Linked DNA regions of Struthio camelus. The protein of the gene in region 2 purifies or fractionates together with the protein of the main gene of each other region. This does not show direct contact. Links are inferred from orthologs where the notes say so. Each region holds a gene or a part of one and is shown on either strand. Other genes may lie near its edges.

Region 1 (7,081 bases), on a different chromosome or scaffold from region 2:
AGACTCCTCTCATCACCTCTTTGAGAGGAGCACTGTCTTTGTACTCCTCCTATCATAATTTTTTTCAGCCTCAAACATAACTATTAACGATTGAGACAAAGTTTTATTAAGAATCAACGTAATGATCCACAATCTGGTACAAATAAGCTACTCCATTTAAATATGTCCGTGATTTATAACAGAACTCATATCAGCTTCTTTCAATAACCTTGTGCTGTTTGGCAAGAGATCTTCAACCAACAGACCCTCATAAGAGTGACAGAAATATCTGTCACTTAGTTTTACACTTATCTCTGCAACACTTGGTTGTATCTTTTTTTCTTCATAGCGTATTTATGCTCATAGCGCCCTTCACAGGTAGGCATAGTAGGTCTCTTTTACAGATTGGAAGCTAAGGAATAGCGACTTAGAAGCCAAATCCAAGCGGCCCACTGCACCGACCCAGCTTATCGCAATACTACAGAAGTAGGTACCTGGCCTTGGTAAGATGATTCAGACTCCCGAAGAAGGGCCTATATGATCTCTAGAGAGTGCATTGCAGAGCATTTAGTCAGTTATTAGGCTTATTCAATTTATGCAGTCGCTACAGAGCAATAAGAACCACTGAAGAGTGATACGAGGTTCTCATATTAAGGCAGTCAGGTCACCTGTAAGTAGATGGAGCTCTCGTGTCAAGTAAAACCAAGTTAAGGATCCCAAACACTGAGCTGGGAATCATTAACAGGCAAGCAATAAGAATACAGGGTCCTGTCTGAATACCTACACCTCTGTAATATAGGTACTTGGTCCCAGGGCTGACTATTCAGGGCTTTATCAACTTGGGATCAAAAAGAAAAATAGCCTAAGAGAAGTAGATGAGGGGGAAAAAATTGCTTACACAAGAAATAAGAACATTTTTATGAAAGAAAGAAGTAAGTTACAATGCATAATATCCTCTTATTTTTCCTATAACCAGTTTGAGTCATGTCACATCTCAAATCTTATGACACCATCTGGTGGCAGAGTTCACAGAAGACACTTATCAGATGTTAAAAAGAATTTCATCAATTTAAACTTGACTCCAAATATCTTATGAATTTTGTCTTTACAAGATGAAGTGAAAGCCCAACGGAAAAAAATGCCTTAATTTTATCTAGATGTTTTGACGAAGTTATCTACAAAACCTAGCATCCTCGTACACAATTTAAACATGTACTTATATGTTAGTGATTGTTATTATTCTTTGCACTGGATATCAGAACCTTGCATATATTAAGATGTATTTTGCTGCCACCTCTTCAAACACTTGACCCCTTTGGAGACATGGGCTAGAAGGTACCTTAACTTTGGTCACAGTGATACAGGTAACAGGCTAACATAGTTTGGCTAAAACCAGTGATTTGTTCTGAACTGAAACTACTGCAATACCATACCTATTCAACAAACTTTACAAACAAAGCTAGTCAGTACTGGTACGTATTGGTGATGTGAATGCAGCTGCCTTTCACTCTTGGCTGAAGCCAAGTAAGAACTAAAAAAATGCAGTTGCCTTTAATAAAAAAGACGGTCTCTTTTCAGGTCAGGATTGGAGTATATTTTCTAAGGTAAAGAAGTTACAAAGTCATATTACATTGGCCCTAAGGATCTGCAACATTCAGCCCAGACACTGCAATACTACTAGGAAGATAATTTCAGAGTTCCAAAAAACTATTAAAGAAGTTGTTAGAAGGCTTAAGTATTTTTAGGAGAGGACCTATCAGTCCAGCAAAGCAATCAGTTACCTCAACACAGTAATTAAAGCTTGATTGAAAGAAGTAGCAAATGAAGGATAGAAACAAGAAGCAGAGGAAGTCTGAGAAAAACAGCCCCAAGAACTCATGTTGAAAACAAAGTCCACCACACCTCAATCCTCTGAGCTCATCTGTTCTACAAATCCCTTTAAAGCCATGCTTGAGTGGAAGGGAAGGAGAAAAGGAAAATTTCTTACTTGCATTAGACAGTTGTTACCAGACCACTAGCAATAAGAATAGAAAAATATAAAACGATATTATATTGTCAAAAAGCAAACCACTCAAAACAAACTTAGCCCTTACAGAGCAGTTGTATAAACTTTAAGCATCAATGCTACTTCCGCTCAACATTCACAAAGTTTTTCCTAGTTGAAGGTCATAAGCCCTCCTGAACAGCTCTTACTGTAACTTAAGTTTGTGTATGAACTACTCTGCTTGCAATAACAAACACTTTTAAACAGCTCATATTTCATTATGTCATGAAGACCCGTATCAGAAACTCCACAGAAGTGGTCTCAGTCTTTTCAGGTTACCAGCCGCATTTATCGCCGCATTCATACACGCTTTCACGAGGATATACTTTTTAGCTTTATAGTGTGAGGAAGGTAACCGAGCAACTCTGAACCCAAAGCTGCGTTTCTGCCTCGGACGCTCTTCTAGCGGGTGCGAAGAGACAACACGACAGCCAACAGTCCGCAGCGGAGAACCTGCTCTGCACTGAACCCGACCACAGAGCTCAGGGGGCCCCGCCGCCGCCGCCGCCACCACCACCCGCGACGGCCGTGCCACAGAGCAAACCCAGGCCAGGCCCGGCCTGGCCCTGTCCGGCCGGGCCGGCGGCCGCTGCGACCCCGCCGCGCCGCCGGCCCCGCTCTCCCCGCACCCCGCCGCCAGGGGGGCCCCGCCGCTCGGCCCCCCGCTCCGCCACTCACACATCGCAGCCCTCGCCAGGGCAGCGGCCCGCCAACCCATCACTCGGCCGGCGCCCCGCAGGCCCCGCCGCCGCCCGCCCCGGGGCCGCCGCCGCTCGCACCGCGCCAGCGCCCGCGCCGGGCCGACCCCGCAGAGACCCGCGGCGCACGGCGGGGCGGGGCAACCCCGCGCCCCAGCCAATCCGCCAGCAGGGAGGCGGCCGCTCTGCATGCCGGGAAGTCCGCCTGCCCCCGCCGCGCTGCCTGCTGGGAAGTGTAGTTCGGGCGGCGGAGCGGTGTTAGAGGAAATACCCGCTTACTTCACTGCGGTAGGATACATGCTTGTCAGTTCGGGACGTTTAGTTACCGATAACAATAGTAATCATCGTTATTATCAGTCAGTATAGTGCCATAAACATGCATAGTTGAACCGTGCTGTAGTGCTGTATGCTACTGCTCGAAAAACCTGCTCCTGAAAATCACACACATAGCAGTAGCAAGAAGCCACAGAAATTGTGCTAGGACCAGCACAGGCTGAGCTAGCCTGACAAATCACCTTCAGGAACAGTCTGAAAGGCTTAAGAACAAGTGCCTGTGCTTGTGGCTGGGCTGCGTAACACACAGTAAACCTCAGTCCAGTGGGACCTCTCAAGAAGCGTAAGCCAAAGGGGGCTCTGGATGCTGTAAGGGAAAGCGAAACAAGGCCCGCCTCTGAGACCACAGAGGTTTCATCCCGAGAGGGCACTTCATTAGCCTTAGAAGAGCAGCGCAGCCCACTCTGTGCCCTGATGGCATTGAGAAGTGCTGATGTTGCCCTGGGTTAACAACATTACAGAAGGTATATGATCTTAACGGCAACCTCAGCACAGAAAAAATCAGTTACACTTCAGGAGGAAAACATACACGGAAAGTCAGCACAGTTCAACTATAAAGCGCAAGACCCACAGCTTCCCCTTGCCGGAGGCCCCTGCCCTCTTTCTCCCTCTAGTTACACAGGAGTGGTTAAGGTCCTTCCTCAGAGTGACGGGTACCTCACTCTCAGAAAAATCTCACTGATTCCAACGGGGCTACCGACATACTACGTCTTTATTTAGCATAGCTGCAACTGGCAAAACCCGGACCCTATCGCACCGGCCACGTACAGCCGTCGCCCACCGGCGGAGCGCCGCGGCGCCTTGGCGCATGCGCAGGAGTCCCGTCAGCCACCTCATGGCGCCATGTTGGGTGCACCCAACCTGCGCGCGCCGCCGGACGTTTCCCACGAGGTGCCGGCGGCCCCGCTATAGGCAGGCGGGCGGGCGGGCGGGCAGGCAGGCGGGCGGCTTCTCTTTCCCGCCATGTCGAGTGTGGCGCGCGGCGCCGCGTCCGCCGGGGGTTGCTGGCTTCCCCTTCCGGGGCGGGGCGGTGGCCAGTGACGCGCGGGGCGGGTGGGCGCTCCGCAGCGGGGGCGGGCGGGCGCTGGGCCGTTAAAGGGGCGGCGAGGGGTGCGGGGCCTGGCTTAAGGGTGGCGACCGTTGCGGGGCGTGCAGCAGCGGTGGCGACGACGACAGGTGCGTGGCGGCGGCGGCAGCAGTAGCAGTAGGCGTGTGTGGTGGCCGCCCCAGCCTGCCGACTCGCCGCTCCGCGCCCCGAGCGGAGCAGCCGGGGCGGCGGCCGCGGGAGTCAGGCTGGCAGGTCGAGTCCCCTTCCGCCTTGCCGTTAACGGCTCGGCCCCGCCGGGGCCGCGGCTGGAAGGGCACCGGTGACGGGGTCGTGGCTGCCCGGGAGGGCCGCTGGTGTGGCGGGGCCTGGGGCTGCGCGCAGCCCCTGCTCCACCCTGGCCTCGCCGTGCCGAGAGGCCCGTGCCGCTGGGGTCCGAGCCCTGCGCTGGGCGGGCGGGGGAGGATCCTGGGCGGCTTTCGGATGTTTCTTCTGTGCTTGACTGAACTGATCCGGTTGTATGTTACCGGAGGCACTCCTCCTGTTATTGCTGTTTTTAAACTCTTATGGTTTCCTGCCTTTAGACACGAGTTGGTAAAATTCTGATAGGTACGAACAATAAGTGTTAGAAGTAACTTGTGGGTCTCTGTTTAACTGTAGATCTCGAAACCTTTAGCCCTCCTAGGAAACTGATAAAGAATAGTCAGCTTTATTTTTCACTCTTCTCTTTTGAAGACTTATCTCGGGCAGAGTGCAATTACTGCTTAACACAAAGGTGTAACACAGCACACAATTCCTCAACCCAGACAAATGGGCTGGGGAAGCTTTGGAACTTCTTTATACAGCTTTCCTAGCTATTTGTGTTCCCTTTTTCTGAGGGCAATAGGCATTCAGGACTCAGAACTAAGTAGCTGAGTTTTCCTTTACTTCTCCCTTCATTTAAAAAAAAAAAAAAAGAAAAAGCTAATTCTCTGCTGCAGGTAGAACAGCTATACAGGAAGGCATTTAGGGGCAAAGGAAAAACCTCCCTGGATGTCAATTGCATGATTCTTTGGTTTGAGCAATGAATTCCTTACTGGCAGTCTGGTAACTAGTCTGTATGCCTTAGCGCCCCGATTCTGCAGGGTTTTTAAGTAGCTGATTGTATAGCTTTTTGCACAGTGTTCTTCGTTAGGCAGACAAAATAGCAGCTGTTACTGTCTGTATGTTGATCTAGAGTTGCTTGTTAACTTGTATTGGCTAATAACTAAACTGGAGGAGGTATCACGAGGCTTTTCCAGCAACAAAAATTGCTTGTTGGAACTAGCATAGAAGAGAACACATAGCATAGAGGAGGTGGTGTTGCTAGCGCCTATTCTTTTGGCTGTCTCCTCTGTGCAGTGTGTTCAGGAAGCTGATAAGAGAAAGCAGGAAGCATGCAGAGTGGTTTCTTGTTCTTGGGTTCTGGCCCCTTCCCCCAGTGTCACAGATGCTTTATTCATTTATCTTGTAGACATAATAGCCTGGAGGAGTACGCTCTGGTGCTGATACCTTGTACCAGCCTGTATTTGCTGGGCTGAATTTCAGCTGCTGAACATAAGTAGCATTTTCTATTTGAATAAGGAAGGTTTTTCAAAAGCAGCTCCTGCATTGGTGATGCAAATGTTTTTGTTTTGTTTTGTACTTTTGTATCAAGTCACCTACTCTGTAAACTGTCTAGTTTTAATCTGTGCAAGAGCACACAACTTTCATAATTTATTTTCAATTTTTTCTAAAAATAGTTCTGTTAATGTTCTTCATCTTTTGGAGAAGGCAACTGCTCACTTTACAGGTGAAGGAACAGAGAGCATCCGTGATCTTCTGAGGCTATACCGGTTCACTGATGGCTAAAATTATAGCTCATGAGATCCTGGCTTTCGTTCTGCTGCTGAGACATCTGGATTGTGTCTTCTTGCACTTCCTATCTTTGTTTATAACACAATTGCCCATAAGACGGCGTAGGCTGAATTTTTCAATCATATTTTTTTTTGCCATATCAGCTGGGGGCTATTTGTTATTTCTTCCCTGGTACTTGTAATAAATATCAATGGAAAGATCTAGCTACCAATTGTAGGTTTTTAAGGATAATACTTTGGTATATTTACTGGTAGATTAGTTTTTTAAAAGTATACAATACAGGAATTACTTTCTGATATATCTGAAATGAGGAGGTAGTCAAATATGGGTACATGTGAATAGAAAGGATTAGATCTTGCGTAATCATGACTTTTTGAAAATGAATAACTTGGGCATGCATGTCTAAAAGTTTTCTGATCAACTATGCCATATTTAGTTCCTGACTACTGAAAACTTTTGACTGGATTTTGAGGAGAAAAACAGCGTGAAGCCTTAAGTGCTCTAGCAAGACTCCATGCTTTGCAGGAGTTGACTCATTTTCATTCACAACTTGGAAATAGCTTTTCTGAGAGAGAAATTCTTCTAGAAGGCAAATTTAATGACCCTTATATTTCCAGCATTAAAAAAAAATGACCTAATCCCCACTTGTAACTCTCACAGCTGTTGTCTTCCATTGCCAAAAGTATTACACTACATTCTTCTAGCTTTAGTTCCTACTCCTAAGAAAATTGGGAACCTCTTGCTTATTATGTGTTTATGGAATAGGCACTAAGGTACAGATTGTTCTTTGTTACTGATGCTAGCAAAATGTCTTTAACTGAAAAAGGAAGAGCTTCAGCCTGCATTTCTAGCTGAGGACTAGTAGTGCAGGAGGAAGGATGAAGGACTGTTTTAGACATCCTGATTGTTTAGGTTCAAATAAGGAGCATCACCAGTTGACAAGGAATTAATTTGGGATATCTGAGAAATGTGATAGGTGTCTCTCACATCTGTGAAAGGCTGTCTGTCAGAGGCACAAAACTGCTGCATGTCAGCCAGAGATGCGAGACTGAAAATCTTGCTGAGTTTGTTAAACTGCAAGTGATCAATACAGTATATTGGTCTAGT
Region 2 (7,787 bases):
AGGAGGAAAATTTCTCCCGCACCCTATAGAGTCATCTACATTACTAGTGCAATCAACATTACTAAGCAAGTCATGATTTACACAAAAAAAGGGTTGGGGGGGGGGGAATCACTAATCTGCAAACAAGATTTGTTTCCCCTTTTTTCTCAGAAAAATAATGGAAAATTATTTTTTAGAAAAAATAATTGGAAAATCAAGGCAATGTGTGCTTTCCATCCCAGCAAAGTTTTATCTTTCAGTCTGGAAGAACAAGACTCTTCTGGAACCACAAGATCCAATCACAGAATCAGCTGCTCTGCCTCAAAGGAGAGGGGGGGGGGAAAAAAAACCCACCACCATTCCCAGTGTTTTTATCTTCAGGCGAGAAGGCCGCACAGGCCAGCACAAACACTAGTGTTCACTAATAACTTGACTAAGGATGCGATAAGCATCTCGCAGATTTCTGAAGCCATGTTTCACGTGCTTTGTGATGTGCCTTCAGACCCTCAGAGCTGAAAACAGCTCAAAGAAACATACAACTACCAGAGTTTTCAGTAGCATGTGAAACAGCCTTTTAACTGAAAGAACACTGCGATTAAAAATCATCATCCTTTAGTATTTAAATACCCTAGTTTTCTGTTCTCCATTAATTTGAAGCTTTCAAATAGTAAAAGCAGCGAGATCTGAAAGAAATTCAATGCTATACAGAAGCAAAGAGCGACTTTAGAGCAACAACAAAAAAGCTGGAGAAACCAGGTGTTGGGACTCCGCCACGCGACTGCTGGGAAAGCCTCCCCAGCTGCAAAACAAGGCTAACAAACCTTCCCCTTATCAGGGCCCTGCAAGGGCAAGGGATGAACTCGTTCTTGCTTATGAAACACTATTTACTTGGGTAAAGCTGAATTTTGCAATCTTCAACACTGGACACCTCTGATTTCTCCCCTACCGATCCAATCATGCAAAGTTGGAGGTAGAGCAAGGGCAGAACCAACCAGTATGAATGCAGAACAGCTTCCAATCTTTGTTTACAGAGGTACGTTCAAATTAGACCAAAAAGGTAAGTTAAATTTATGCAATTTGTCTTTCATAAATAAGATCCGGGGAGGAAGGAGCAGAACTCTTAGTCCTAAACAAGCCAGCGTAGAAATGTAAGCTCAATTAAGATTTGGTAAAGAGAATCCAAAAAAAAAAAAGTTTTTAAAACACAAACTGAAAGCAACTAATTTATGACACATTTAGGGGTGAGCACCAGGGAACTCAGTCAATAGAAACATCTAACAGTTTTTAAGAGCCCCTCAGAAACATGCACTGCCTTTCTAAGTAACCTGGCCCTTTCCTCTAAATTTCTCCATCGTTTCTGAGGTTCCTTACTTCACAGCAGCGCTAAAAAGCTCCCTCTTTCCCCCAGCCCTTGCAGAGGACACTGGGCTTGTTGTTTCAGGGCTCTCTTTGCTGTTTTACCCCTTCTTTAGGGCCGTTTCAGGCTCGGAACAACGCTGGGGCCAAGCCGCCGGCCGCCCCAGGGGTCCGAGGGACGGAGCTCGTCCCCCGAGGCCTTGGCTCCCAGTTTTATCCCAAACTCCCCGTTCTCCACCACTGCCCACCTCCCCTCTTCTCTCCCCTGGGTGGGGAACAGCCTCTGGCACCCCCAGGACTCTGCAGCCCCGACACCCCCACGCAGCCCAGCACCCTCACCCCATAGCACCCCCTAAAACCCCTTCCCCACCCCCCAGCACCCTCACCCCCCAGCACCACCTGACACCCTTCCCTGCCCACCAGCACCCCCCAGTGCCCCGCACTCTCACCCCATAGCCCCCCTGCCCCATAGCACCCCCAACACCCTTCCCCACACCCCAGCACTACACACCTCATAGCATCCCAAAATCACCCACAGCCCACTACCCTCACCCCATAGCCTCCCCCCAGCCCCTAACCCCCCCAAGTGCCCTCCACCCTCACCCTACAGCCCCCCCAGCCCCCAACCCCCCAAGTGCCCACCACCCTCGCCCCCCAGCCCCCCACCCCCACCAAGTGCCCTCCACCCTCACCCCATAGCCCCCCCAGCCCCTAACCCCCCACAAGTGCCCTCCACCCTCACCCCACAGCCCCCCCAGCCCCTAACCCCCACCAAGTGCCCTCCACCCTCACCCCACAGCCCCCCCAGCCCCTAACCCCCCACAAGTGCCCACCACCCTCACCCCCCAGCCCCTAACCCCCCACAAGTGCCCACCACCCTCACCCCCCAGCCCCTAACCCCCCACGTGCCCACCACCCTCACCCCCCAGCCCCTAACCCCCCACGTGCCCACCACCCTCGTCCCATAGCCCCCCCAGCCCCTAACCCCCCAAGTGCCCACTACCCTCGCCCCATAGCCCCCCCAGCCCCCAACCCCCCCAAGTGCCCACCACCCTCGCCCCATAGCCCCCCCAGCCCCTAACCCCCCCAAGTGCCCTCCACCCTCGCCCCACAGCCCCCCCAGCCCCCAACCCCCACCAAGTGCCCTCCACCCTCGCCCCACAGCCCCCCCAGCCCCCAACCCCCCCAAGTGCCCTCCACCCTCGCCCCACAGCCCCCCCAGCCCCCAACCCCCCCAAGTGTCCTCCACCCTCGCCCCACAGCCCCCCCAGCCCCCAACCCCCCCAAGTGTCCTCCACCCTCGCCCCACAGCCCCCCCAGCCCCCAACCCCCCCAAGTGCCCTCCACCCTCGCCCCACAGCCCCCCCAGCCCCCAACCCCCCCAAGTGCCCTCCACCCTCGCCCCACAGCCCCCCCCCAACCCCGCCAGGGCCCGGGGGAGGGGCAGGCCCGAGGCCCGGCGCAGCGCACTCACCCGAAGAGCCCGGCGAAGAAGGACTGGGAGCCGCGCACCTTCTTGTCGGCCTCGGCCAGGAGCTGCAGCGCCTCCTTCTCCTTCCCGGCCTGGTCCATGGCGGCCGCTCGCAGCCCACTCCGCTCCGCTGCCCGACGCCGCCGCCGCCGCCTCACGTGACACCGGCGGCGCGCCGCATTGGCGGGCGGCGCCCACGTGATACGCGCGCGGCTGCGAGCGCCCCCTCTGGGCCGCGCAGCCAACCCGGCGGCGGCGCCCCCTGGCGGCCGGGGGGAGGAGGCGGCGCGGGCAGCGCAGGCCCGGGGGGGGCACAGAGACCTTGGGGGCCCCCAGGAGCTGGGGGGGCACAGACACCTTGGGGTCCTCCAGGAAATGGGGGGGGCACAGAGGCTCTGGGGTCCCCCGGGGGCTGGGGGGGGCAGAGAGGCTCTGGGGTCCCCCAAGGGCTGGGGGGGGGCACAGAGACCTTGGGGTTCCCCAGGAGCTGCGAGGGCACAGTGACCCTGGAGTCCCCCAGGAAATGGGGGGGGGTACAGAGACCTTGGGGTCCCCCAGGAGCTGGGGGGGGCACAATGACTCTGGGATCGCCTGGCAGCTGGGGGGGGGCACAGAGACCTTGGGGTCCTCCAGGGGCTTTGGGGGCACAGTGACTCTGGGGTGCCCTGGGAGCTGGGGGGGGGCACAGAGACCTTGGAGTCCCCCAGGAGCTGGGGGGCACAGTGACCTTAGGGTTCCCCAGCAGCTGAGGGGGTCACAGTAACACTGGGGTCTCCCCGTCCCCGCAGGAGCTGGGGGGCACTGCGACCCTGGGGTCCCCCGGCAGCCGGGGAGGGGGGGGAGCAGGGCGACCCTGGCAGGTTGCTACATGGCTGCGTCCGGCCGCACAGGAGCTCAGGCTCCGGGAGCGCGAGGTCCCTGCAGGAACCTGGTTTGACAGCGTTAAATAAAAGCATTTTTGTCCTTTTTCAGGTGTACTGACAGACCAGCGTCAGGGCGGCAGAGTCACGGCGCGGGAAAGCACAGCTCTTTTCGTGCGTTTGCATCCCGACGAACTCTGGGGCCAGCCACGCTCCCGCGTTCCTGCCGGTACTGAATTCACCGAGGATTATTTAGCACCTCCCAGGCCTGGGCCTGGACGATTTAACTGACGCTTTGGGCCTCGACGACAGAGCAGGGCGGCCAGCGCTCTTGCACGAGCCAGTACATCTCCCCGCAGCATCAAAGAGAGGGGTTGCAAGCGGCTGCCGGCTCCGGCGGATTAAGCAACGACAGAAATCCTGGTTTGCCGCGAGAGCAGGCGAAGCGCAAGGAAACTCCGCGACAGACCGGCTCGTCATGAGACGGCGAAGGAGGGACGAGCTCCTGCCTGGCGGCGGTCAGAGCCCGCCGGTTTGGGCTTTCTGTCGAGACACGAAGTCGTGTCTCTGCGCGGCTGCTCCTTCCCTCGCTCTACCATAAATCAGCCGGAGATAATTGCCGCCACCGTTCTCCTCGCTGCGGTCTCCGATTTTTAGGTGGGCTGGAGCTTACGGACGTGTTCCATATGGCGCTGTGCGCGAGCCGCGCGTTGAGGAGCCGTCATCGCCCAAGGTGTTTTGATGCATCTCTGAGCGGCTGGAGGAAGGCTCTATGTTCCTTTTAAAGGAATACCACTCCGGTAGCAGATTTGTAAATGCTGCGACCTCACCAGACACAACCATTAACCCCTTCCAGAGATGCAGAAGCTGAGGCACAGCTTTAGCCATTTGCAGTCGGGGGAGAGAGCACAGACGCTCAGCCACCCGGGGGGCCCTGCCCCATGGTGCGCCCTCTGGGCCACTGCCAACTCCTTTAAAGAGACATTTAAGCAAAATCCCATGTTCTCTATTAATTAGCTAGGACCAAGCTTTGATTTTACAGACTCACAGATTTTAAGACTGAAAGGGACTCTCAGCTCATCCAGTCTGACTCACCCAGGACACAAAATGTTATCTTCCTTTAGTGAGCGCAATAACGTACGTTCTTCTCCCTCAGGGCCAAATAAATCTTTCATACAGCTTTGGTAGGCCACACGTTTAATGTGTATCTTAGTGCTATCTAACCATAGCGGACACAAAACCATACGGCTGCGAGACATACGGAGCGAAGCTGTGGGCTGCGTCTTGCCCCTAGGATGCAGGTTCTGGGCTGCCTTTCCAGAAAGACTTCTACTCGTGACACAAAATATGCCGCTTCTCCGGAAACTTGTTCTCGTGGCTAAGCACTCACACAGTTAAAACTGCGTACCTCGTTAGCAGGGTATCCAGCAACACAACGGGTTCTTAATTTTGCAACAGATCACGATTAATCGGGTTTTTTTTTTTTTTAAACTGGCCGCCCTAAGCGGGTAAAGGACCTCTTCCGAAGGCAAACCGAGACGCCCTCGCTGCGCGCAAGCAAGCCCGAGCTCCCGGGCTGCCGCGTGTGCCGGCACGCTCGCCGCCGCGCTGCCAACGGCGCATCCATCTCGGTTCCCGGCACTTCTCCTCCCAGCACGAACTTTTGAGAGGAGCCCTAAATGAATTACTTCCAGGTGAAAGGGTAGCACTCCCCTTCTCCCGCACAGCTCCGCACTGCCAACAGCCCTCCAGCCCCTGTTGCGCCCATGCTAACAAAGGCGTGAGTATAAAACGACCTCTGTCTGCTTGTTTCTCCATCTGTCTAAGCTTTCTTTCGATCCGTGCACCTCAATATGCTTTTTTTTTTTTTTTTTTTTGCCATGTACTGAACACAATGCCTATAGCTGACAGCTTTTCAGTGCAGGGGAGGTGAAACACTAATTGGCAGAACAAATGAGCCTGCAGAATAATTTTCAGGCAGGAATTCCCCTGAATACAGCAGCTACCTACGGCCGGCTGGAGGTTTTAAATGTGACGTCACCAGCTGGGTTATTTCCACCATCATCCGGCACTGCCTTCAGCCACGCGATGTGACTCTCCATGGCGTTGCAGCAGCTTTTCCACATGCGACGCGTCCTCCCCTCCTCCGAACGCTTCGTAGAGTTACACAAAGTGGCGGCAGGAATCAACGGCTGCAGCAGGCAGCCCGAAATGACAAGGCAATTCAAAGGGAGAGCTAAGCTAGGATTTAATTTTAAGGACAGTCTCCTGACAAGCATGCTCAGGCAGGTGCAATCCATGCAGAAACCGCTTTCCACCTCTCGCTGCCAGAGCGGACGACCTTGCTAGCATAGATTTTTGTCGTGCCCGTTGCCAGATGAGCGACTCCTTCCAGAGGTAAAACACAGAACAGGTGTCCCCAGCCACCTGAGAAACGCACTGTAGCTCACGACATGCAGCTCTCCAGCTTGCCTGCCAGAAGCGCGTGCAGCGGCGTTTTTCATACGTGAAACAACCAGTTCCTTCTTTACTAAAATCCATGCCTGTGAGATATATAAATCTATGGTTTATGATGCCTTCAAGGGCTTCCTGGTCTTAAAGACTGGTGCCAGGTAGCCCCTGCCCTCTGCACCGAATGCTGCAGTGCAGAGGGAGATCCCAGCTCTCAGAAGACTTAACAAGCAGCTGTGTGCGAGCGTCTCTTCTCATACTCACACTGCCAGAACACTGCCTTTCCACTTCTGAAGAGAGGAATAAAGAGGGGAGGTAAGGGAATGACTAAGAAACCCATATTTCTCAGTGCATGAATCACTGATAGGAAGCTAGAACAGACTCTCTTTTGCTAATTGGGGGAAAATCAGCCTGCAGGGTCACTGAAGTATGAAGGAGGAGGTTTCCTTTTCGCTGAACTATATATACTGTTGCTTTACATCCTTCTAATTTACAGCGCTGTCCAATTTGCTTCGGTTGTTACACTGCCACATTTCACTGAAATACCTCAGCACTAGGCAGATAATATCTTATACTTCTAAGGAAAAGAAATTCCCTCTAGGACAGGAATTACCACAGTAGATCATACAGAAAGCCGAATTAAATTACCATTACAGCTTTCCCTGTCTTGTACTGGTTTGATCCTAGATTTCAAACAAAGAACCTAATCCTGGAAACGTTTTAGGACCAAAATGCTATGAAACCCACAGATGACAGGTAGTGTAGGTAATGATTAATTACTGCATGAGACCCTTGTAAAACAGCGCAGGGGCTTAGATAATGATATCACCACCCTAGCGTAACTAAAAGAGCAGTCTGATCGTGCATTAAACTGTGCAATTTTAATTGCTTAGGTCAGAAGTACAGGATGATGGCCCTTGTCACAGCAACAGTCTCGCCTAGTCCACTTTCCAGTGTCTGACAGCAAATACTTAAAGAAAGACTATGTATAAACTGAGCCTTTTCTGGCCCTATCTTCCCAGCTTCTAACCCCCAACCACTTCTGGGTGATAGCTTTTAATAGCCACCACCATTTTTCTAACGATCCTTATTTTTCCCCCCTCCAAACTCTTGCAAAGAACAAAATGGCAGATGTAAACTCCAAGAGAGTATCTCAGTTCTTGCAGAAATGCGTCAAGCCAGAGGACAACGGAGGAGACTCGCAGCCAAAAGAGGAGACAACAGAAGAGCAATCTCTTCCTATCATCACTCAGTCCTACCCTCAGACAGTACAAGGTATGTGTATTTCTTTGGCTTTTTCTCAAAAAGATGTAGAAAGCTGTAAATAGCAATATCTGAACATGATACTTAAAAGCTGTGTTGACACTTTGTATTAAAGATGCAGATAGAAATGTTTTGCTAAGGATTTATACATCAGAAAACGTTACTGTGTGCCTCTGGCTTAGAATAATGAAAGGGACTAAAGCAAGAAGATTTAAAGGGAGGCTTGTATTCAATTTTTAGATTACATTGTGCTGCATTTTCTCTTCTTTTCAGAGGAAATATCAATGGTCTTCAACACATACAATATGGCAGCCAACCTTGGGCCAGCCTCCAGGAGGAAGAGAGAGAAAGGCACCAGTCACGATGGCACAAGTACCTCTCTCTACGTTGACCGCCGGAAGTCTAAA

What was found. The genes of interacting proteins can lie anywhere in the genome.
Region 1: the proteins of NAPA (region 2) and SNAP23 purify together in Homo sapiens (affinity purification with mass spectrometry; 4 studies listed by BioGRID and IntAct, with this or other methods). This does not show direct contact. The link is inferred for Struthio camelus from reciprocal best matches to the Homo sapiens genes NAPA and SNAP23.

Annotation. Positions count from the first base shown.
Region 1 is NC_090946.1:42,632,524-42,639,604, forward strand, and holds the start of SNAP23 (synaptosomal-associated protein 23), read left to right. Parts: upstream 1-4,069; 5' UTR 4,070-4,230; intron 4,231-7,081. UniProt on the Homo sapiens protein: Essential component of the high affinity receptor for the general membrane fusion machinery and an important regulator of transport vesicle docking and fusion.
Region 2 is NC_090957.1:884,654-892,440, reverse strand, and holds the start of NAPA (alpha-soluble NSF attachment protein), read right to left. Parts: upstream 3,016-7,787; 5' UTR 2,908-3,015; coding exon 2,810-2,907; intron 1-2,809. Other genes in the region: E3 SUMO-protein ligase ZBED1-like, read left to right, coding at 7,242-7,392, 7,654-7,787. UniProt on the Homo sapiens protein: Required for vesicular transport between the endoplasmic reticulum and the Golgi apparatus. Together with GNA12 promotes CDH5 localization to plasma membrane.